4 linked regions of the Saccharomyces cerevisiae S288C genome follow. The gene in region 1 interacts genetically with each later gene. Each region holds a gene or a part of one and is shown in the gene's direction. Other genes may lie near its edges. The genes, in order: FPR1, TOM1, HMO1 and UBP14.

What was found.
Region 2: mutations in FPR1 (region 1) and TOM1 together harm fitness more than expected from each alone (negative genetic interaction), as found in Saccharomyces cerevisiae (2 studies listed by BioGRID).
Region 3: mutations in FPR1 (region 1) and HMO1 are lethal when combined (synthetic lethality), as found in Saccharomyces cerevisiae (5 studies listed by BioGRID, with this or other methods).
Region 4: mutations in FPR1 (region 1) and UBP14 together harm fitness more than expected from each alone (negative genetic interaction), as found in Saccharomyces cerevisiae (2 studies listed by BioGRID).

The regions. Positions count from the first base shown.
Region 1 is NC_001146.8:371,382-376,046, reverse strand, and holds FPR1 (peptidylprolyl isomerase FPR1), read left to right. Parts: upstream 1-3,820; coding exon 3,821-4,165; downstream 4,166-4,665. Other genes in the region: ribosome biosynthesis protein KRE33, read right to left, coding at 1-726; FYV6 (Fyv6p), read left to right, coding at 1,355-1,876; YNL134C (uncharacterized protein), read left to right, coding at 2,466-3,596; EAF7 (Eaf7p), read right to left, coding at 4,402-4,665. UniProt on the Saccharomyces cerevisiae protein: PPIases accelerate the folding of proteins. It catalyzes the cis-trans isomerization of proline imidic peptide bonds in oligopeptides.
Region 2 is NC_001136.10:1,367,166-1,373,797, forward strand, and holds the start of TOM1 (E3 ubiquitin-protein ligase TOM1), read left to right. Parts: upstream 1-2,624; coding exon 2,625-6,632. Other genes in the region: bifunctional K:H/Na:H antiporter NHX1, read left to right, coding at 320-2,221. UniProt on the Saccharomyces cerevisiae protein: Probable ubiquitin ligase protein involved in many cellular processes, such as transcription regulation, maintenance of nuclear structure, cell cycle, mRNA export and rRNA maturation.
Region 3 is NC_001136.10:809,002-814,143, forward strand, and holds HMO1 (Hmo1p), read left to right. Parts: upstream 1-3,108; coding exon 3,109-3,849; downstream 3,850-5,142. Other genes in the region: SUP35 (translation termination factor GTPase eRF3), read left to right, coding at 1-1,380; ARG82 (inositol polyphosphate multikinase), read right to left, coding at 1,564-2,631; mitochondrial 37S ribosomal protein mS35 RSM24, read right to left, coding at 4,192-5,142. UniProt on the Saccharomyces cerevisiae protein: DNA-binding protein that is probably part of the rDNA transcription apparatus. Acts synergetically with the RPA49 subunit of RNA polymerase I during rDNA transcription. May participate in mutagenesis control.
Region 4 is NC_001134.8:351,788-358,330, reverse strand, and holds UBP14 (ubiquitin-specific protease UBP14), read left to right. Parts: upstream 1-2,313; coding exon 2,314-4,659; downstream 4,660-6,543. Other genes in the region: serine/threonine protein kinase AKL1, read left to right, coding at 1-1,470; TSC3 (Tsc3p), read left to right, coding at 1,765-2,007; MUM2 (Mum2p), read left to right, coding at 5,038-6,138. UniProt on the Saccharomyces cerevisiae protein: Required for the adaptation to the presence of glucose in the growth medium; mediates the degradation of enzymes involved in gluconeogenesis when cells are shifted to glucose-containing medium.

The DNA.
Region 1 (4,665 bases):
TTCTAAGGATTCTTTTAATTCTTGCAACTCTAATTGCTTTGGAGGCAATTCGTCATCTTCCTTAGGAGGTAGTGGTTTCACGTTTTTGGCACCAGATAGCGGTAGAACATTTAATTCATCATCAACGACTAAACAGTTTGGATTTGAACCTAAAGAAAGTATGAATCTTTCGTTAAATCTTGCAACAACGTCACCATGAGCCTCAGTACGATAACGGGCGTGAACATCCATAGTCATGGTGTACAGTTGCTTTAACGATGACATTGATTTCAATAAAATAACCACAATACCACCACCTTCTACAGTTTCAATGGTTCTTGCTAAAAGATTTGGGGTTAATGCCTCGAAGTCCTGAAGAATACACATACCATAGGTATTACCCAATATTTTCTCACTCTCTTTGTAGTATACATATCTGATATTTTGGTTAGAGATAAAAGATTCAAAAGGGTCCATTTCATTCACTTCCCTTGTACCTCTTTTAATTTCTTTCTTAATTTTATTCTCTCTTTTTTTTCTGTGCGAAGTGAATCCTAGAAGCTTCTTCTTATAAGCCCATAAGACGGACTTGTTCATCTTAAGGTCAGCACTCATCATCAAATAATGTAAATTTGGGAGCTGGTTACGTGCCCTGTCCCCAACGATGACAAATATGGACCTTTGTTTGGTTTGAACACCATTCCTGATCAGTGACGGGATTCTTGAATCGATAGCTTTTTTGGCCATTTTCTCCTTGTTTTATAAGTCTCTTATAAGTCTTTGCAAGTTAAAAACTAAGAAATATAAAAGGTGACTTGGCTTATATACTCTATTGCGTACTTTATTTGAGATAAATACAGAATCTCCATGCATCTTCAGCACCTCATCTCATCTCATTGTATCTTGGCTCTTCATTTTTTTTTTTCAAAATTTTTCACACGATTCCGGGTAAACTATTACTTTTTACAACTAATTCAGATATACCTGGGAAGTTACAATGGAAAACATGCAATGTTCGGTCTGGCTTGTATCATTTGATTGGAAAAGCGAGCATCGGTTGATACTGAACACATCCACATGCGTAATCATTAAAAAAAATTTTTCAAATTGCGAACTCTGTGGATCGAACACAGGACCTCCAGATGACTTGACCGAAGTTTTTCTTCAGTCTGGCGCTCTCCCAACTGAGCTAAGTCCGCTTATTTTTCTGAAACCTTTTCCGCCTTTTTGTCGTCCCTAGGAATTACTTTTGATGCACTGCCAATCTGAGGGAAAAATGACGTTTAAACGCACGAGAATGTGCAATTAGATGTAAGTCCATCGAAGCCTAGAGAAAGCGGTTCCAACAAAAGACTGTGGGCTCTGTTATATCATCATGTCATCTACCAGTGATAATAATGCTAATAGTGCAAGAGAGAAAAAACCACTGAAATTCGTGTCAGAAGGAGTTGGTAATGTAGAGGCCCAGAGGATACGAGAGCAAGTGGAGCAAAAAAAATATGAAGCGGAATATAAAAGGAAAACCAGGAAGTCCCTGCGAGATCAGCTTAGGTCTAATGCTATTAGTAAACAAAAACAATATAACGGTTTGGTGAGAGACCGTGAAAGTTTTACTAGGTTGAGTAAAGAGGACCTGGAATTTTACCAGAAGAGCAAGAATGAGTTGCTAAAAAAGGAAAAAGAACTGAATAACTACTTAGACGTCAAGGCAATCAATTTTGAAAAGAAAAAAAAAGCATTACTAATGGAGAACGATTCTACTACTAATACAGAAAAATATTTAGAGACCGGCACTAGTTTGGGCAGTAAAACACAAATAAAGGGCGTAAAGACATCCAGCCCTAAACCAAAAATCAAGGTATCCATAAAAAAATTGGGTAGAAAACTGGAGAACTGATGTGATGGCCTACACACTTCGTCACAACTAGAGCTTTATGCCAAGATTAAACTTCAAGTTATATAAATTATGTAAACATTGGACATACAAAACTCGGAAACTCTTTTTCTATTCATCTTCCCTTCTCGTACGTGCCCACGGAAGCAATAAAAAGAACCGAAATAACCAACACCCGTAACGTCAAAGCATTCATGCTTAGAATGGAAACCATTTCGTGGAATGAAATGGCAAATTGATCACATTGATTGCTCGTTCCACTACCTGTGTCCGCAATTTTTTAATGGTCATCACAGCCCCTGCTGACTAAAGTTCCTCGGATCCGCTTACGGTTGTCGCGCGGTTCCGCCCCTGCGTACTCTTAGTACCTAGCATATGGGCTCCCTCCGTTGGATTGGCATCGATTAGTAAGGACAGATGTTAAGGATTTAAGACCGTTTTTAAGGTATTTCGGCAATGCTTCGATTTAAAAGGAGAGAGTTTTTTTTTTGCCGTTTTCTTCCTCTCACTTCTTGATTAGTACTGTAATTCTAGTTGAAAAAAAATCGTTAACTATACACAGCAAAAAGCAATATCATACTGCATATCAAGCATGTCCGCCTCGATTCCAGAAACCATGAAAGCCGTTGTCATTGAAAATGGCAAGGCTGTAGTCAAACAGGACATTCCAATTCCTGAATTAGAAGAAGGATTTGTTCTAATTAAGACTGTCGCCGTTGCCGGTAACCCTACCGATTGGAAACATATTGATTTCAAGATTGGTCCTCAAGGTGCCCTCTTAGGCTGTGATGCAGCCGGCCAAATCGTAAAGTTGGGCCCAAATGTTGATGCTGCACGCTTTGCCATTGGTGATTACATTTATGGGGTTATTCACGGTGCTTCAGTGAGGTTCCCCTCAAACGGTGCCTTTGCTGAGTACTCTGCCATTTCATCCGAGACTGCTTATAAACCAGCCAGAGAGTTTAGATTGTGCGGTAAAGACAAGCTACCAGAAGGCCCCGTAAAATCTTTAGAAGGGGCAGTATCCCTCCCAGTCTCATTGACCACGGCTGGTATGATCCTTACACATAGTTTTGGCTTGGACATGACATGGAAGCCCTCCAAAGCGCAAAGAGATCAACCCATCTTATTTTGGGGTGGTGCCACTGCTGTTGGCCAGATGCTTATTCAATTGGCAAAAAAACTAAACGGTTTCAGCAAGATCATCGTCGTTGCTTCTCGTAAACATGAAAAATTGTTGAAAGAGTACGGTGCAGATGAACTTTTTGACTACCACGATGCTGACGTTATCGAACAGATAAAAAAGAAGTACAACAACATTCCTTACTTGGTGGACTGTGTCTCCAACACAGAAACTATTCAACAGGTGTACAAATGTGCCGCTGATGACTTAGACGCTACGGTCGTTCAATTGACCGTTTTAACCGAAAAAGATATCAAGGAGGAAGACAGGAGGCAAAACGTCAGTATTGAAGGAACCCTTCTATATTTGATAGGAGGTAACGACGTCCCATTTGGCACGTTTACTTTGCCAGCAGACCCTGAATACAAGGAAGCCGCCATAAAATTTATTAAGTTCATCAATCCAAAAATCAATGATGGTGAAATCCACCACATCCCAGTGAAAGTTTACAAGAACGGGTTAGATGATATCCCACAGTTACTTGATGATATTAAGCACGGGAGGAATTCTGGCGAAAAGTTGGTTGCCGTCTTGAAATAAATAATCTATAGCTACTTATGTATATAGCGCTTGATCATTCTGTTTACCTCCACATTATAGTGCCGTTCAATTCCCCTCACCCGCCTTAGTCTTTTTCGGGCAAAAAAAATTGCCGGAAGAGAGACGTCGTTGAAAGAATTTGGTGGATAAACTCGTGAAAGCTTAAAGTAAGGCCTTTCACCTAAACTCGAGTATAAGCAAAAAATCAATCAAAACAAGTAATAATGTCTGAAGTAATTGAAGGTAACGTCAAAATTGACAGAATTTCCCCAGGTGATGGTGCCACCTTCCCAAAGACAGGTGACTTGGTTACCATTCATTACACCGGTACCTTGGAGAACGGCCAAAAATTCGATTCCTCCGTTGACAGGGGCTCTCCATTCCAATGTAACATCGGTGTCGGCCAAGTCATCAAGGGTTGGGATGTTGGTATTCCAAAGTTGTCTGTTGGTGAAAAAGCTAGGTTAACCATCCCTGGCCCATATGCTTATGGCCCACGTGGTTTCCCAGGTTTGATTCCACCAAACAGTACTTTGGTTTTCGACGTCGAATTGTTGAAGGTCAACTAAAAGCAAAGTACTATCAATTGAGCCGCCTTTCTGCTTTTTATTTATGTTTATGGTAAGTATCTGAGCCTTAATTGAAATAGATATATAATTACAAAAGATTAGACAAGGAGAAGCATACGTATATTCTATTTCTTCATTAAGGTTATTTTATTCTATATCTGCTACACTACATTAAATACAGATACCTCTATGGAACGGATGAGCGTTTATTATCGCGATCTATATATGAGCAGTGATTATTTTTTATTTCGTAGCCTGCTGGAAACTCTTGTGGCAGGAGGGCTATTTTTACGAGAGCCTGCCTTCCGCCTTTTCCTTTTCGGCGAGGTTTCATTGCTAGTATTACCTGTGGATGATGAATGCCTAGTTCTCTTTGCTAATGGTTCATTTTTGTCCTTAGAATCCTTTTTGGTATCATCCTGTTGATCATCTCCTTTTTTGTTTTCCGTTTTTTTCTTTAAGTTGCCCCCTTCTGATTCAATTTGTTTTCCTTTACCTTC
Region 2 (6,632 bases), on another chromosome or scaffold:
TGCTTATAGAGCAGAGTTTAGGATGAATTTTGCATTGTAGCCTGCCGTGAGCACACACAAGGAGTAGCAGAGCAGTAGTCTTGCCAAAGGATTATGACAGATGATATACCTTGCACAAACGTGATAGCAAGGAACTGCAAAAGTTGATATCGAACAATCATTATTCACGGTGTGACTTTTTCTGTTTCCGTTGCTTTTCTAGCTACTCTAAGATAAAGGGCACCCAAGATTGACAAATAGTTGTAGATTAAACATAGATTGCAAGCAGTGAAATTCAGAGGATAATCTTTTATCGCTGTCAGTACATACCATATGAAAAATGCTATCCAAGGTATTGCTGAATATAGCTTTCAAGGTGCTGTTAACCACCGCCAAGAGAGCAGTTGATCCTGACGATGATGATGAACTTCTACCTTCCCCGGATCTCCCGGGTAGCGATGACCCTATTGCAGGTGATCCTGATGTAGACTTAAACCCTGTTACAGAAGAAATGTTCTCTTCATGGGCATTGTTCATTATGTTGCTCCTATTGATCTCTGCATTGTGGTCTAGTTACTATTTAACTCAGAAACGAATTAGGGCAGTGCATGAAACTGTGCTTTCTATTTTTTATGGTATGGTTATTGGCTTGATAATAAGGATGTCCCCCGGGCATTATATTCAAGATACGGTTACTTTTAATTCATCCTACTTTTTTAATGTTCTATTGCCGCCAATTATTTTAAATAGTGGGTACGAGTTGAATCAAGTGAACTTTTTCAATAATATGTTATCTATCTTAATTTTCGCCATACCGGGCACCTTCATATCTGCTGTGGTTATTGGAATCATATTGTATATCTGGACCTTTTTAGGACTAGAGAGTATTGACATTTCATTCGCAGATGCAATGTCTGTTGGTGCTACATTATCTGCTACCGACCCTGTTACAATTCTTTCAATTTTCAATGCGTATAAAGTGGATCCTAAGCTATATACCATCATTTTTGGAGAATCACTGTTAAATGATGCCATCTCTATTGTTATGTTTGAAACCTGTCAAAAATTTCATGGTCAACCTGCAACATTTTCGTCGGTTTTTGAAGGGGCAGGCCTCTTTTTGATGACTTTCTCCGTTTCGTTGTTGATAGGCGTTCTTATAGGAATTCTTGTTGCTCTTCTGTTGAAACACACTCACATAAGGCGCTATCCTCAAATTGAGAGTTGTTTGATCTTGTTGATTGCTTATGAATCCTATTTTTTCTCCAACGGTTGCCATATGTCCGGTATCGTCTCCTTGTTATTTTGCGGAATTACTTTAAAACATTACGCCTATTATAACATGTCAAGAAGATCACAGATCACCATTAAGTATATTTTCCAACTATTGGCAAGATTATCAGAGAATTTCATCTTTATCTATCTAGGTTTAGAACTTTTTACTGAAGTAGAACTAGTCTATAAGCCACTGCTAATTATTGTGGCAGCTATTTCTATATGTGTTGCTCGTTGGTGTGCTGTGTTCCCATTGTCGCAATTTGTTAACTGGATATATAGAGTAAAGACAATCAGATCTATGAGCGGCATAACCGGAGAAAATATTTCTGTTCCCGATGAAATACCCTACAATTACCAAATGATGACATTTTGGGCAGGTTTACGTGGTGCTGTTGGTGTCGCCTTGGCGTTGGGAATTCAAGGTGAGTATAAGTTCACTTTATTGGCAACGGTCCTTGTTGTTGTTGTTTTAACAGTTATCATTTTTGGGGGCACTACTGCAGGAATGTTAGAAGTTTTAAATATTAAGACTGGTTGCATAAGTGAAGAAGATACATCTGATGACGAGTTTGATATAGAGGCTCCAAGGGCGATAAATTTATTGAACGGTAGTTCTATTCAGACAGATTTGGGCCCATATTCTGACAACAATTCTCCAGATATTTCAATTGACCAATTCGCGGTCAGCAGTAACAAGAATCTCCCCAATAACATATCCACAACTGGTGGTAATACTTTTGGAGGCCTTAATGAAACTGAGAATACTAGCCCTAACCCGGCAAGGTCTTCTATGGATAAGCGTAATTTGAGAGATAAACTGGGAACAATCTTTAATTCCGACTCACAATGGTTTCAAAATTTTGATGAACAGGTATTGAAGCCAGTATTCTTGGACAACGTTTCTCCATCCTTACAAGATTCGGCTACGCAATCACCTGCAGATTTCTCTTCCCAAAACCACTAGACTTTAAAGTGTATGGTTTCCTTGTTTCTAATATAAATATATTAATTAAGTCTTTATACATTCTCTCTTACTCAACGCCGAAGGAATACCCTTCTACACTTTATTCATTTTAAATCATGTACTGTTATATACACGCTAGTAGGATTGATCTTATTTAATCATATTTCGCACGTTACCCGACTGCTTTCAGTTTTGCCGCTTTGTGATAATGAGGAATTTCAGCTAGCTTTTAATGAGCCGATACTAAATCACCATGATTTTGGGAGAGGAAAAGAAGAAAAGGTAAAACAACGAATATTTTTCAAATACCTTAGTTACTGAATATCCATAACTACTCGTATAATTGGTGAGAAAATAGTGCATATTTAGTTTACTTTTTGCCTTTGATTGAAAATATATATTCATGGTGCTTTTTACTCGGTGTGAAAAGGCAAGAAAGGAGAAACTCGCCGCTGGTTATAAGCCCTTAGTTGATTATTTGATTGATTGTGATACTCCCACATTTTTAGAAAGAATTGAGGCAATCCAAGAGTGGGACCGATCCAGAGATGATCTTTATGTTTGGATTCCCATTCTAGACAGAATGGACGGGCTGTTGTTAAAAGTGGCAGAGAAATATAAATACAAGCAAGACCCCAAGAAGGAGTGTGAAGTCAAATTGGTGGAAATGGAAGCGCATGATGTTGATTATTGTTTGAAAATGCTAAAGTTTACTCGTCGACTACTTCTAAATACAGAAAACAGGTTTGTTTATTCATCTGGAGATGTTTTAATGTATCTACTGAATTGTCCGAATTTTACAATAAAACTAGCGGTCATGCGAATTTTAGCCATTTTAGGGGAAAGGTTTGTGATTGCGAGAGAAAAAATAGTTGCACATAACATATTTGGAGATCACAACCTCAGGAAAAAAACTCTCAAACTAGCTTTATCTCTGTCATCTTCCGTCATGGATGAAGACGGAGAGCACTTTTCTCTTGTCGATCTATATTTTGATAAGAAAAAAGTGCCTCAAAAATGGAGAAAGTTGAGATTTACACATTATACTTCAAACGACTTTAAAAAGTCAAGCCAGCAAAAAAATAACATTAATGAAACCCAAACTTCCATTAAGAAGGTAACTATGACGACCCAAGAACTGTGTGAACACTCACTACAGCAAATATTTGATAAGGGTATGGCCCTTTTACCCGCAGAAAGTTGGTTTGATTTCTCAATAAAAGCTTCGGTGGCGAAGGCCTTCAGTGATGATTCAGGTGAAAATATAGATTTGAGAAATATAATTATTGAAACAAAACTGAATGCTATTGCATTTGTTAACACCATTTTCTCGCCTCCTCAAGTAAGCTCGAAGTTATTTGAATTAGATCCGTATGCTTTTAATAGTCTAACTGATTTGATATCGTTGTCTGAAACCAAAATACCAAAAGAGCTAAGAACGGATGCTTTATTCACATTGGAATGTATATCCTTGAAGCATGTCTGGTGCTCAGACATTATCAGAAATCTCGGTGGTAACATATCGCATGGTCTGTTGTTTCAGATTCTCCGTTACATTGCCAAGACATTGAGAGAAGCGACAGACGAAATCGATGAAGAATATAATGTGAGGTTCTTTTACTTGATATCAAATTTAGCTGACGTTAAGCCTTTGCATGAATCTCTTTTCGCCGCGGGTTTAATACCTACTTTATTGGAAATTGTATCTATAAGAAATTGCCCATATAAGCGTACCCTCGCATCTGCTACCCATCTCCTAGAAACATTTATAGATAACAGTGAAACTACCACTGAATTTATCGAAAATGATGGGTTTACTATGCTGATCACTTCAGTCGCCAATGAGATTGATTTCACGCTTGCACATCCAGAGACGTGGCAACCGCCAAAATATTCAGTGGTTTATTATTCAATTTCTTTTAGGGAGTTGGCATATATTAGAAGTTTATTGAAACTCGTTCTCAAATTATTAAGCACAGACTCAGGGGATAGAATTAGAAATTTAATAGATTCGCCGATACTTGTTTCATTAAAGAAAATCCTAGAAAATAAACTTGTATTCGGTTTAACATTAATAACTTACACTCTGGATGTAGTTCAGAAAGTAATAAATAGTGAGCCTACTATTTATCCTGTTCTGGTTGAAGCAGGACTTATTCCATATGTTATCGATAATTTTCCAAAGTTAATTGGGCCTTCCGCCGAATTATTAAGTTTACTTCCAGATGTCGTTTCTGCCATATGCTTGAATCCAGAAGGGCTGAAGCAAGTTAAAGAAAAGGGTCTCATAAACAATTTGTTTGATTTCTTACTCGATGCTGACCACGCGCGTATATTAACAGGTGGAGATCGTTCTACGGAATATGGTACTGACATTGATGAATTAGCAAGACATTATCCAGACTTAAAGGCAAATATCGTGGAGGCTTTGTGTAACGTCATCAGAAAAATGCCAAGTACCTTTAGAAATGAAAGAGAGTTTCTTTTTACTTCACCAAAAGATCAAAAGTACTTTTTTCACAGAAAAAATGAGGAAATATTGACAGATAAAGAGGAACATGAACCTGCATACTGGGAGCTATTAGATAAGGGAACTATGCTGGACACATTTACCAGTGTTTTGTTTGGTATGTCTTTAGGAAATGGTTCTTTTTCACAGGTGCCACAACATCTGGAAGCGAGAGATTTTCTGGCAATAATATTTATGGAAAATCCTCCTTATGAATACTTTACCTCCGTGGCAATCTCAAATGTTACTGAGGTCCTCCAGTATCTGGATGAAAAATACGAAGACTACGCATTCATGGATGTTATGAAAGTATTGAACGATCAATTGGAGAACCTGAATGATTTTTTGAATAGTCCAAATGATAGAAGTTTCTTTTTAGAAAGAGATGGGGAAAACTCGGTGCGTTCATGCCATTCAAAACTTTGTCGACTTGCCGCTATTTTGAACATTGTTACGAATGTATACATTGACCTCACTACCTTATCTTGTAAGAGAATCATGCAGATCTATTCTTATTTTGACAAAAGAGGATTTTCTTTAATTAAAAACTTAAAGTTGCTATTCCAGAAATGTGCGTTGGAGGAAATGTACATACGCCAACATATGCCAGATTCTGTTATTACAGAAACAATGCCGTTGCCTATAGTGGATGTTTCCGGAGATGGACCACCACTTCAAATTTATATCGATGACCCAAAAAAGGGTGATCAAAAGGGGAAAATTACCAGCGTAAAAACGAGAAATACTCTTCAAATGCGAACAATACTGTATACATTACAATCAAATACTGCAATTCTATTTCGCTGCTTTTTAAGGTTAAGCCACTCTAGGAATATGGATCTAGAGCATAAAGATTTGACGACAGAAGTTCATATATTTGAGAACGTTGTTGAAAATGTTATTGAAATGTTGAAGGCCACCGAACTCGAAGGTCATCTACCGTATATTCTCGTTTTATTAAACTTCAACACCTTTGTGTTTACTATTCCAAAGGCTTCCCCTAATTCCACTGAAATATTACAAACAATACCGGCTTATATTTTCTATCAAAAGGGGGGCTATTTACTTTATTTGCACATTATAAGGGATCTCTTTACGAGAATGACAAAAATAAAAGATTTATCCTCACTTGATAACATAAACTACATAGATGAGTCCAACGGTATCCTAACCTTAAGCTGTTTAATTAATGCTCTCACCTTTTACAACAAATCAATGCAAACTGAAACCATGGAGAATGTCCAAAGTATTGGTAAGTATTACGTTTCAATAGATGACGATTATAATATTATGAAAGCTTTAACAGTTCCTATTAAGGTAATGGCTCTCGCAATGATTTTAGATTTGGATAAATCGGATAGCCTCTTCAAGACACAGTCCCGTAATGTGCCTTACTCAGTTTTCAAGCAACTTCTTAGTATGCTCAAAAATATATTCACTAATGTGAACATCTATACCAAGGAATTATATGAATTGCATTGGGACCTAATATTCCCACCAATTAAAAAAATTAGCTTGTTTGAGCAAGTCGGCATTCCCGGTGATGTTGCGGCAAACTATTTAACAGATACTGGTGATGATCTTCCTGCAGATAACAGTATTGGCCTGTTTTCGCCTGAACAATGGGAAAAATATAAAAAATTAATCGGTGAAGATAAATCCATCTACTATCCACAACCAATGCAAGCTCAGTATTACAAAGGATGTTCCTCAAAAGAATTAGATGAGCTGAGAGATACCTTTTTCAATGACGGTTTACCATCTAGGATCTTCACTGTACTCCCTTTCTATCCTAAACTTGTAAACGCGTTTGCAAAAACTTTGCTACAAATTTTTACGAAATACGATGAACCCACTGAAGTGTTTGCTGGTAGAATCTTAGATCGAATTTTAGAGACAGAT
Region 3 (5,142 bases), on another chromosome or scaffold:
ACCAACAATGCCAATGTTACCAGTGCTGATGCCTTGATCAAGGAACAGGAAGAAGAAGTGGATGACGAAGTTGTTAACGATATGTTTGGTGGTAAAGATCACGTTTCTTTAATTTTCATGGGTCATGTTGATGCCGGTAAATCTACTATGGGTGGTAATCTACTATACTTGACTGGCTCTGTGGATAAGAGAACTATTGAGAAATATGAAAGAGAAGCCAAGGATGCAGGCAGACAAGGTTGGTACTTGTCATGGGTCATGGATACCAACAAAGAAGAAAGAAATGATGGTAAGACTATCGAAGTTGGTAAGGCCTACTTTGAAACTGAAAAAAGGCGTTATACCATATTGGATGCTCCTGGTCATAAAATGTACGTTTCCGAGATGATCGGTGGTGCTTCTCAAGCTGATGTTGGTGTTTTGGTCATTTCCGCCAGAAAGGGTGAGTACGAAACCGGTTTTGAGAGAGGTGGTCAAACTCGTGAACACGCCCTATTGGCCAAGACCCAAGGTGTTAATAAGATGGTTGTCGTCGTAAATAAGATGGATGACCCAACCGTTAACTGGTCTAAGGAACGTTACGACCAATGTGTGAGTAATGTCAGCAATTTCTTGAGAGCAATTGGTTACAACATTAAGACAGACGTTGTATTTATGCCAGTATCCGGCTACAGTGGTGCAAATTTGAAAGATCACGTAGATCCAAAAGAATGCCCATGGTACACCGGCCCAACTCTGTTAGAATATCTGGATACAATGAACCACGTCGACCGTCACATCAATGCTCCATTCATGTTGCCTATTGCCGCTAAGATGAAGGATCTAGGTACCATCGTTGAAGGTAAAATTGAATCCGGTCATATCAAAAAGGGTCAATCCACCCTACTGATGCCTAACAAAACCGCTGTGGAAATTCAAAATATTTACAACGAAACTGAAAATGAAGTTGATATGGCTATGTGTGGTGAGCAAGTTAAACTAAGAATCAAAGGTGTTGAAGAAGAAGACATTTCACCAGGTTTTGTACTAACATCGCCAAAGAACCCTATCAAGAGTGTTACCAAGTTTGTAGCTCAAATTGCTATTGTAGAATTAAAATCTATCATAGCAGCCGGTTTTTCATGTGTTATGCATGTTCATACAGCAATTGAAGAGGTACATATTGTTAAGTTATTGCACAAATTAGAAAAGGGTACCAACCGTAAGTCAAAGAAACCACCTGCTTTTGCTAAGAAGGGTATGAAGGTCATCGCTGTTTTAGAAACTGAAGCTCCAGTTTGTGTGGAAACTTACCAAGATTACCCTCAATTAGGTAGATTCACTTTGAGAGATCAAGGTACCACAATAGCAATTGGTAAAATTGTTAAAATTGCCGAGTAAATTTCTTGCAAACATAAGTAAATGCAAACACAATAATACCGATCATAAAGCATTTTCTTCTATATTAAAAAACAAGGTTTAATAAAGCTGTTATATATATATATATATATATAGACGTATAATTAGTTTAGTTCTTTTTGTACCATATACCATAAACAAGGTAAACTTCACCTCTCAATATATCTAGAATTTCATAAAAATATCTAGCAAGGTTTCAACTCCTTCAATCACGTTTTCATCATAACCCTTCCCCGGCGTTATTTCAGAATGTGCAAAATCTATTAGTGACATGGAACTCAAAGAACCAGTTGTTTTTTTGTCCTTTGGTCCTTCGCTGCTTCCCTCGGCATCATCATCATCATCATCATCATTATCATCATCGTCGTCATCATCGTCTATAAAATCATCTCGCATAAGTTTGTCAACATCATTTAGTAATTCCCATCGCTCCGGGTCTCCTTCGTAAATAAACAAAAGACTACTTGATATCATTCTAACTTCTTCTTCTAGCATAGTATTATAAAACAACTGCAATCTTTTCAAAAATGTTTTCTTCAGTTGATGCTTTCTCGCATCCGACAGATGAGGATTGTTAAAATAAAGTTCAATTGCATCTGAAACATTTTGATCGGTTCTTGAACGACCATACAATTTGTTTATAAAGATATAATCACTGTCTGCTTCTTCTTCGTAATATTCGAGCGAAAGCTGATTCAGCACAGAGGGATTTTTCTGTATTTTCATGCCACATATCCTGAAACCCAAAGATCCTGAAGTCGTCGTCTCACTGACTCTTTTCATTCTCTCTCTTTTTTCCAATGATGCCTTCGAATCATACAAAGTTTTGCCTAATTTTATATCAAGTATATTAGGTTTACTAAATCCATATAGTAGATTTTCTAAAACGAGGTATTGCTTGGACTTCTCAGACTTTACAGGTATTGAATCAAGATTATCAGTGGAATCACTTAACCGCTCATCTATCTTCAGAAGCGCAGCATCGCCACTTTGCTCGATTTTTGCCCCTTCATTCAAGACTCCAAGATACGTGGGCATCCAAGAGCACAAGGGAGCATCTCCATCAGCCGAAGACTTTCTTCGACTCACATCTCTCACTTGTATGGCTTTGTAGAATTCCAGTTCCTGCGGAAAGGCCGGTTTAAAGATGAGCAATCCATCACCGTCTGTTAGAGTACCGTCGTGGCCAGCAGCTTTATGCTCTAAAACCCTATAATTGTTTACCGTATCCATGTGAAAAAAATTTCTACTTAGGCACACGTATGCACATATCCATGTAAGCTACTAATGGAAATTGTTTAACTGATTACTGGTAAAAAAGGGATCTCCAATGGCTTTATCTTATTCCATTTTGTCCCACCATTTGTATACAGTATAAAGACATTTTGGTGAGATACTTAGTTACCCAGCCTACTTCTGAGAAATATTACCCGACTCGATTATCTACCAATTGGCTTCGAGAACGTGGTTTTTCACCATTTTTTTTCCCGCTTTTTTTTTTCATCCGACCGTTGTGGCGGAGAGAAGCTTCCGGAAGGGAATTCACTCAGATTCTCTCCAGTACCACGGGGGGCAACTCTGCCTGGAACACTCTCTTCCTTCAAGAACTTAGCAAGAAGTACCAATTAGTCCCAGCGGGCCCTCAGGGCTGGTCTACTGCCTTATACTCTAGGATGTACATCCTACCACACACAACAAGCCTGTCACACCATGACTACAGATCCTTCTGTCAAATTGAAGTCCGCCAAAGACTCCCTCGTCTCCTCCCTCTTCGAGTTATCAAAAGCTGCTAATCAGACAGCCTCCTCTATTGTTGATTTCTACAATGCCATCGGCGACGATGAAGAAGAGAAGATAGAGGCTTTCACCACTTTGACTGAGTCTTTGCAAACATTGACTTCTGGTGTAAACCACTTGCACGGCATCAGCTCGGAGCTGGTTAACCCTATTGATGATGATAAAGATGCTATTATCGCTGCTCCAGTCAAGGCTGTAAGAAGAAAGATCGAACGTGATCCAAATGCTCCAAAGAAGCCACTGACTGTTTTCTTTGCTTACTCTGCGTACGTTCGTCAAGAACTTCGTGAAGACAGACAAAAGGCTGGCTTGCCACCTTTATCCTCAACTGAGATTACTCAAGAAATCTCCAAGAAATGGAAGGAATTGAGTGATAACGAAAAAGAAAAATGGAAGCAGGCTTACAACGTCGAGTTGGAGAATTACCAAAGAGAGAAATCCAAATACTTAGAAGCAAAGAAAAACGGTACCCTACCACCAGCTTCCTTGGAAAACGGTCCAACTCATGCGCCGGTTCCAATTCCTTTCAGTTTACAGCACGCCGCTGAACCTCCTGTGGAAAAGAGACCTCACGATGATGATGGATCTTCGGAAAAGAAGAAGAAGAAGAAGAAGAAGGATAAGAAGAAGGACAAATCCAACTCTTCTATTTGATGGACGGACAAACTCGTTACTATTACTCTACTGTCTTTCTAAAATAAATATAATAATAAAAAAAGGAATAAAATATAGCAGCATGGGCTTGCTTTGCCCATAGTGTATGCACATATATATATATATATATGTATCTATCCCTCTCCTCTTGTAACAGTATATCTTCCTTTTCATTTTCGTTGTGTATATGTATGTATATAGTTCTAAATTTGCGATTATACCTTTTCAAACCTCTCAATGTTGTATTGTGCTAAAACTATGTACATTTTAGAGAAAAAGAAGGAAGCAAAACAAATACATAATATATACAGGGGGGCCGTTCTTTTTGTTTTTGAACATGTATTAAAGAGTGCTCAATAATTGATCTACAATATCAAATTTCTTCTTTGGTGCATCTTCAGGGCGTTTCCAGTGTTCAGGAAACTCATAATCCCGCTTCTTTTTACGTAAACTCTTAGCTATAGTATGCCTTGTGTCAAGGGGAACATCGCTAAAATCGTCCTCCGTCAAATCTTTTGACTCCGCTAACAGCCTTTGAAGAATATCATGCAAATAACGTGCATTTTGTGATGCATGCTCAAATTTGTCACTAGACATTTTAAAAATATCTGTAGTATGATCATAACGCGACCTGGCTAATATTCTGAACTTATGTAATGATTTTTCCTCCAGGCCCAATTCCTTGGTTTTAACGCTTAATACAACCTTCCTCGAATTGGGATGCTCTTCGCCAACATAACTAGTGTATCTATAAGTGACCGGATGACTTTCTGGAGATGGTCTCTTGTATTCCTGGCGATATTGAGCTAATAGCGGTAACTCATATGCGGCTAATCGATTATAGAACCTTTGTTCACGATGTTGGGCAACCAATTCCTGAGCTTGCGATGGCAATTCATCAAACATAAACGGTCTAAGACTGTTATCGCGATTCACGTTTCCACCTTTTATATCAATAGCGCCTTGTTCTCCTCTGTGATATAGCTTTTTAATATCGTTAACAGGTACATTTGAGTACTCAGAAGTGGTTAATAAGGCATTCAGTTCGTCTTTGTTAGGTTTATACTCTGAACCCAATCTAGCCATTCTCTCCCAATATAACTCTAAAATTCTTTGAGGAGGTAAACCCTTCCATTTTTCGGGATGCATATAGAGATCTGCTGAAAAAGCTGGTCCTTCTCTCACAGTTTTAGCTTCATTACCAGCATCACTGTTCAAACATCTAGACATTGTCAAAACCCTTTTCTGGGTGCTCCACAAATTACCCCGAGAGACTTTCCATAACCCCAATGG
Region 4 (6,543 bases), on another chromosome or scaffold:
GTTGAACAACAGCAGCAACAACAGGACCAACCCAAAGGACCTGCTAATTATAGCCAAAGAAATTTCTACACTGGGAGGGATCGGTCCAATAAACCTATGCAGTTGGGTGGAACTATTGCTGGAGATAGTGGTAATAGAAGAGTCAACTTTCAGAATATTTCTCAAAATTACGCCACGAACTCCCAGTCAGGATATCTCCCAAGTCAAAATTCCCCAGCAATTCCAATGGTGAGACCTGTTATTTCCATGAATCAGCAGCAAGCGCAACAGATACAAGCCCAGCAATTGCAGGCACAACAGATGCAGGCAAAGCAACAGATGCAAGCCAAGCAGCAGATGCAAGTTCAGCAACAACTGCAAGTCCAACAGCAAATGCAAATTCAAAATGCAAATAATAATGGTACTTACGTCTCTGATAGAACAAATCATACCACAGAAGATATGAGAAATGCTCAGGGGGGTGAACCTCCAATTCTTGCAGGAAATTCTGCAAATGAACCAATGCACTCATCCTCTAAAAATGAAGCTCTCTTAATTGAACTATCTCCATTAAAAGAAGATGCAGGAAAGCAATCTTTCCAAGATACAAATGAGCCTCAAACTGGCGGTATCGAAGATGCCGGCGGTTCAGGAACTATCAAAGGCTCGAACAATAATCGAAATGGCGTTTTAAATTTAAGTTTGAATGAGATGGACTTATCAAGAGATGATACTGGTGCTGCTGTCTCCTCCTTTTCATCGTCTTCATCGTCTGCATCAATTCAACAAGCTAAGCTTTCTGGACGCAAAGGTTCCAGTAAGAGGAACAATTATTCAACAGACGAATTGGGAGATAGTATGGTCTCCAGCGAAAGCATTGATATTGATTTGGATGATGCAAGGAGAGGAAAAACAGCTGAAAGAAGACCACTCCATAATGAAAGAGGTCATAAAGACCAGGCAAGATCAAGTGATGCTAGTAAGTCTAATCAATTCAAAAGCAAGGACTTCAGCAGCGTATCAACAAGGCAACCGCGGCAGTCATTGGATCTGAATTTCCAGGAAGTAAATCTGTCTTCACCAACGTTAACTCAAGAGCATAGAAATAAAAACGACTCGCCAGCACCAAATTCACATCACTCGTATAGAGTTTCACCTCATGCTTCCACCGCAATAACTGAGAATAAGCGCCACAGTACTGGTCACGAACTGTCAACCCGGTCAAATGGCAAGCATGAAACACACAGGACTGGTTCCAAGCAAAGGCACGATTTGGAAAGATACCGGCATTCGAAGGATAAGGATAGCAATAGCAGCATTACTATTAGCACCTCAACTCCATCAGAGATGAGAAAATCCTTCGCTAGGGCCCGTCAATCGCTTGATTTGGAAAGGGTCCGTCGTGAAGCGATGGCAAGTAGTGCATCCAGTAGTGGTGGCAGTAACGGGAAAAGGAGATCTTTTTTCTCAGTCTTTAGAAGCGAGAAATGATTCGATAAATAGAGCACATATAAAATCATATACATACATTGTTACATATAGAGGCGCAGACAATCCGTATATCTTCCTCAAAAACTAAATTGATAGAACAATAGTAACTCAAATCATATGCATTAAGCATATCGTGCGAGATGACGTTTACTCCTGACGCGCTTAACGAGAAGCGGTTAAGTGAAGAGTAATAGTGCTCGCAATTTGACAGAAATGACACCATTTTAAAAGTACTAGAGATAAAGAGTGTAGAAACCGGAAGAACAAAGGTGGAACATATCATAAGGGGAAGAAATGACACAACATAAAAGCTCGATGGTGTACATACCCACCACTAAGGAAGCTAAAAGACGTAATGGGAAATCAGAAGGCATACTAAATACTATTGAAGAAGTGGTGGAAAAGCTTTATTGGACCTACTACATACATTTACCCTTTTATTTAATGGCCTCTTTTGATTCATTCTTCCTCCATGTTTTTTTTCTCACAATTTTCAGTTTGAGTTTCTTCGGTATACTAAAGTATTGCTTCCTTTGAATGATTATTTATATCCTTATTCGGTTAATAATAGTATAAGCTGGAGGCAAGGGGACAGAAAATTTAGGAGGATATCATGGAGGATAGAGTTACATAAATATACACACAATACATAAACTAATAATTGCTTGTGGCTATAGGATATAATTTATAACAGTTGATGTGCCTTTGAAAAATGACATCGTTTGGAATGAGATCAAATTTATCACTTGATGAAATCACAGTGAAAAGCGACTTGCAATGGCAGTAGAGATGACAGGTAAATTCATCCAAAAAGAGAGCCCGAAGTCTTTCTCACATTCAGAAATGGCAGAAGCAGTACTAGAAAACGTTAACGTTCCTGCAGTCGTTTCAAAAGATGAGTGTATTTATTGCTTTGAATCCCCTTATAATGAACCATTGGCCCTCAATGCATCACCTAAACATTCATTGAATATATGCTTAAACTGTTTCCAAGCTACGTGCAACAGACATGTTCCACTCCATATCCGAGTCACAGAATATGCTTGCGATACCATACATTCCAATTATTTAACTATTGCTAAAGTGGAGAAACCTAAGCAAGAAAATGTAGAAGAAAATAATAACAACAAAAAAATAAAGCTACAGGTAATTGAGACGTCAGAAGACGACACCCACAACACTATTTGGAGTTTACAAAGGTTCAATGGTGAAAATGTTCCCAGGACCGTACTTTCGAAGTCGACAGACTCTGACATTTCTTCTACGGCCTTGGAGAAGATTGAAAAGATATTAAAGGCGAAGTCACAAGACTTCGAGGATAAGAAGAACTCCTGGGTGTTAGAAATCAGCACCTGTCCACATACAGAAAACTTTCAAATTCCATCTAAGCCCGAAAATACTGTGAATTTAAACCAATGCTCTTCCTGTGATTTGACTCAAAATCTCTGGTTATGCCTACATTGTGGTAATATCGGATGTGGCAGGGAACAAATCGGGATTGATGGTCACTCGCATGCTTTGGATCATTATCGGAGTAATAATAATCACCCATTAGCTATCAAATTAGGGTCTTTAAGCTCTTCAACCTATGATCTGTATTGTTACGCATGTGACGACGAAACTAGATTTCCAGATAATGTTAATTTAGGCAGTGCACTACAAATATACGGAATTAACATACAAGAAAAGATTGCGGATGAAAAGACTCTAGTTCAATTACAAGTGGAACAGAACGAAAATTGGCAATTTAGAATGGTCGATTCTAGCGGTAAAGAATTTGAAAAATTATCCGCTAGTAAGAATTATGGCTGTGGTCTGATCAATTTGGGTAATTCCTGTTACTTAAATTCGGTTATACAAAGCTTGGTGAATGGTGGCGTCCCGAATTGGTCCTTGGATTTTCTAGGAAGTAAATTTCCACTGGATGTTGTATATCCGGACAATAATTTAAAGTGCCAATGGATCAAGCTACTCAATGCCATGAAATGTGAACCCGAACTATATCCAAATGGTATCAAACCTACTACTTTCAAGAAATGCATTGGGCAAAATCATCAGGAATTCAGTTCCAATAGACAACAGGATGCGATGGAATTTCTAACCTTCCTTTTAGACTTGTTAGACAAGAAATTTTTTTCAAGTAGTTCTTCAGGTATTCCAAATCCCAACGATTTAGTTAGATTTATGATGGAGGATAGGCTCCAATGTAACATTTGCGGGAAGGTTAAATATTCTTATGAACCCACAGAGGCTATACAGATTCCCTTAGAGGAGAATGATGAACCTCAAGATATGTTAGAGAGAATCAAGGCGTATTTTGAAGGGCAGACGATTGAATTTAAATGTGCTAATTGTAAGGAAAAGGTTACCGCAAATAAAAAACCTGGTTTCAAATCTCTTCCTCAAACACTTATTTTGAACCCAATAAGGATTAGATTACAGAACTGGATTCCTGTTAAGACAAGTAATGAGCTTTCTTTACCAGGTTTAATAGACAGGGATGATATGCTAGATGTTTCGTCTTATTTATCACAAGGATTTGATCCTCAAACTGAAAACTTATTGCCTGATGAGGACGAAAACCGTAGCTCTTTTACGCCAAACCAATGCAGTATTTCTCAATTAATTGAAATGGGCTTTACTCAAAATGCTAGCGTGCGCGCCCTATTTAACACCGGAAACCAAGACGCTGAGAGCGCTATGAATTGGCTATTCCAGCATATGGATGACCCTGATTTAAATGATCCCTTTGTCCCGCCTCCTAATGTCCCCAAGAAAGATAAGAGAGAAGTGGATGAGGTATCATTGACTTCAATGTTATCCATGGGACTAAATCCCAACTTATGTCGTAAAGCCTTGATACTCAACAACGGAGATGTTAATCGTAGTGTTGAATGGGTATTTAACAACATGGATGATGATGGAACATTTCCCGAACCTGAAGTGCCAAATGAAGAACAGCAACAAAAAAAGGATCTTGGATATTCGACCGCTAAACCGTACGCTTTAACTGCAGTTATTTGTCATAAGGGAAATTCTGTCCATTCTGGTCACTATGTTGTTTTTATTCGTAAACTAGTGGCAGACAAATGGAAGTGGGTTCTTTATAACGATGAGAAACTAGTTGCTGCCGACAGCATTGAAGATATGAAAAAAAATGGTTATATTTATTTCTATACAAGATGCTAAAAGAACGTTTACACACACACACACACACACACACACATATATATATATATATATATATATATATATATATATATATTTTGCATTATATGTGTATGATCAAATCTATCGAGTTAAATATTTCTACATATTTCAGTAATAAATCCATTTCCATTAGCTATTTTGCAATGTTTTTTCTTTTTTTTTTTTGCTGCTGTTACCTTCGCCGCTAAAAAATCATTTAAAACAAGAAAAGAGTACATTGTTTGATGAAACAACAAGCAAGAAATGTAAACGATAGTCAAACTTAGTAAGAAGAGAATCAGCTGGCTTGGTACTTGATCTTTTGATTTGACCTCATTCTTTTTGCATACACGGCTCGTTTGGAATACTGTTGTAAAAATGAATTACATGGCTTATGATTATGATCCCCAACATTCGTTGGAAACGTCCTTTAACAATTTGGCATTTCATCCCCACCAACAGTCACAGCAACAAGCCCTATACGAATCTGGTGAAAGAAACGATGCCAGGCCGGGATTAATGAACACCTTAGGTCAGGCGAGTAAAATGAATAATTCCATGCTTCCTCAAGGTTCGTCGGCTAGTCCCTTAACGGGTCAACATAGCTTGAACAGTACAACAAATTTCAACATGCCCCCATCAATGAATACCTATAATTACCAGAATGTACCACAAGCATCTATGAGAAATACTCTCAATCATAACAATATCATGAATGGGGCAACTGCTAATGATTATTGGCTGGATCCAATGAATAATATGACAAATAACAAGGATACTAATGGGAATCCTAATGACTCGATGTCATCAATGTCTAATATGACCGCTAAAACCTCAATCAATAGTACGGCATTCAAGAATTCATTTGTTCCTTTTAATCATGTGACAGCGCTCTCAATGAATAATGTCAACAGCAATGAGATGAATTCAAATAAAGATGACAGAATGGAAGCATTGGAAGTAGAACTACAAATAAAGGAAAGTCAAATCGAATCACTCGAGAACGAAATTCAAAGGCTAAAGAAAATTTTCAACGAGGGGCTAAACTACAAGCAGAATGAGCATAAGTATGAGAAGGAAAACTGCCATATACCCCAAACTTTCGAATTGCCAGCTTCCTTGGAAGTGATATTCAGAAAACTGTCATCGTCACTGCATGCAAAGGAAAAGGAGTTAGCAGAGACGAAAGAAAATCTGGAAAGTATATTAACTGCACTGGCGCTAAATCCAACAAATTCAGTGACTAAGTATGGCAGGTATGATGCAGAATCGATTGCTCACAAAATGGTGGTAAGATTAGAAAACTTAACAAACGAGAACAAAGAAATGGCCAAGATGTTAGCATATGGCAGATCAAAAGAGACCCAAATTGAACTGCAGTTGGCCAAAAAAGAAAATCTAGAATTAAGAGAAAAAATCGCATCTTTGGAAGCCCATTTGGCTTCAAAGGAGTCTTCAAAGGAGGACGTTGCTAATTGAAAGAGGTTTACTCATTATCGAGAACATATGGCTAATTCTAAAAAACGAAAAAGAATAATATGCAAATATATAGATATGTGTATATGATACAAGCTTTTTTCATGAAAAATAAACGGAAGAGAATTTTTGCTTTTGTCCTACACGAGGAATGTATCAAAGACTATTACTTTTTTAAGTATGTTGTCTTAGATGGCTGAGTTTTATGCTTTTTCCAAAAAGAGCAACGTAGCTGTTATTTATTTACTTAGTTATTACCTCCAGATAACGTGTCTAATCTCTTACCTCTATTTATAAAAATTATTCATTAAAATACTATTGAAAATTGGAGTATATACTTACAAACGTATATATTTTTTTAGAAGCATCAAGGCAAGATCAAAGCTATGCCGCTTTGTTCCTGATGTT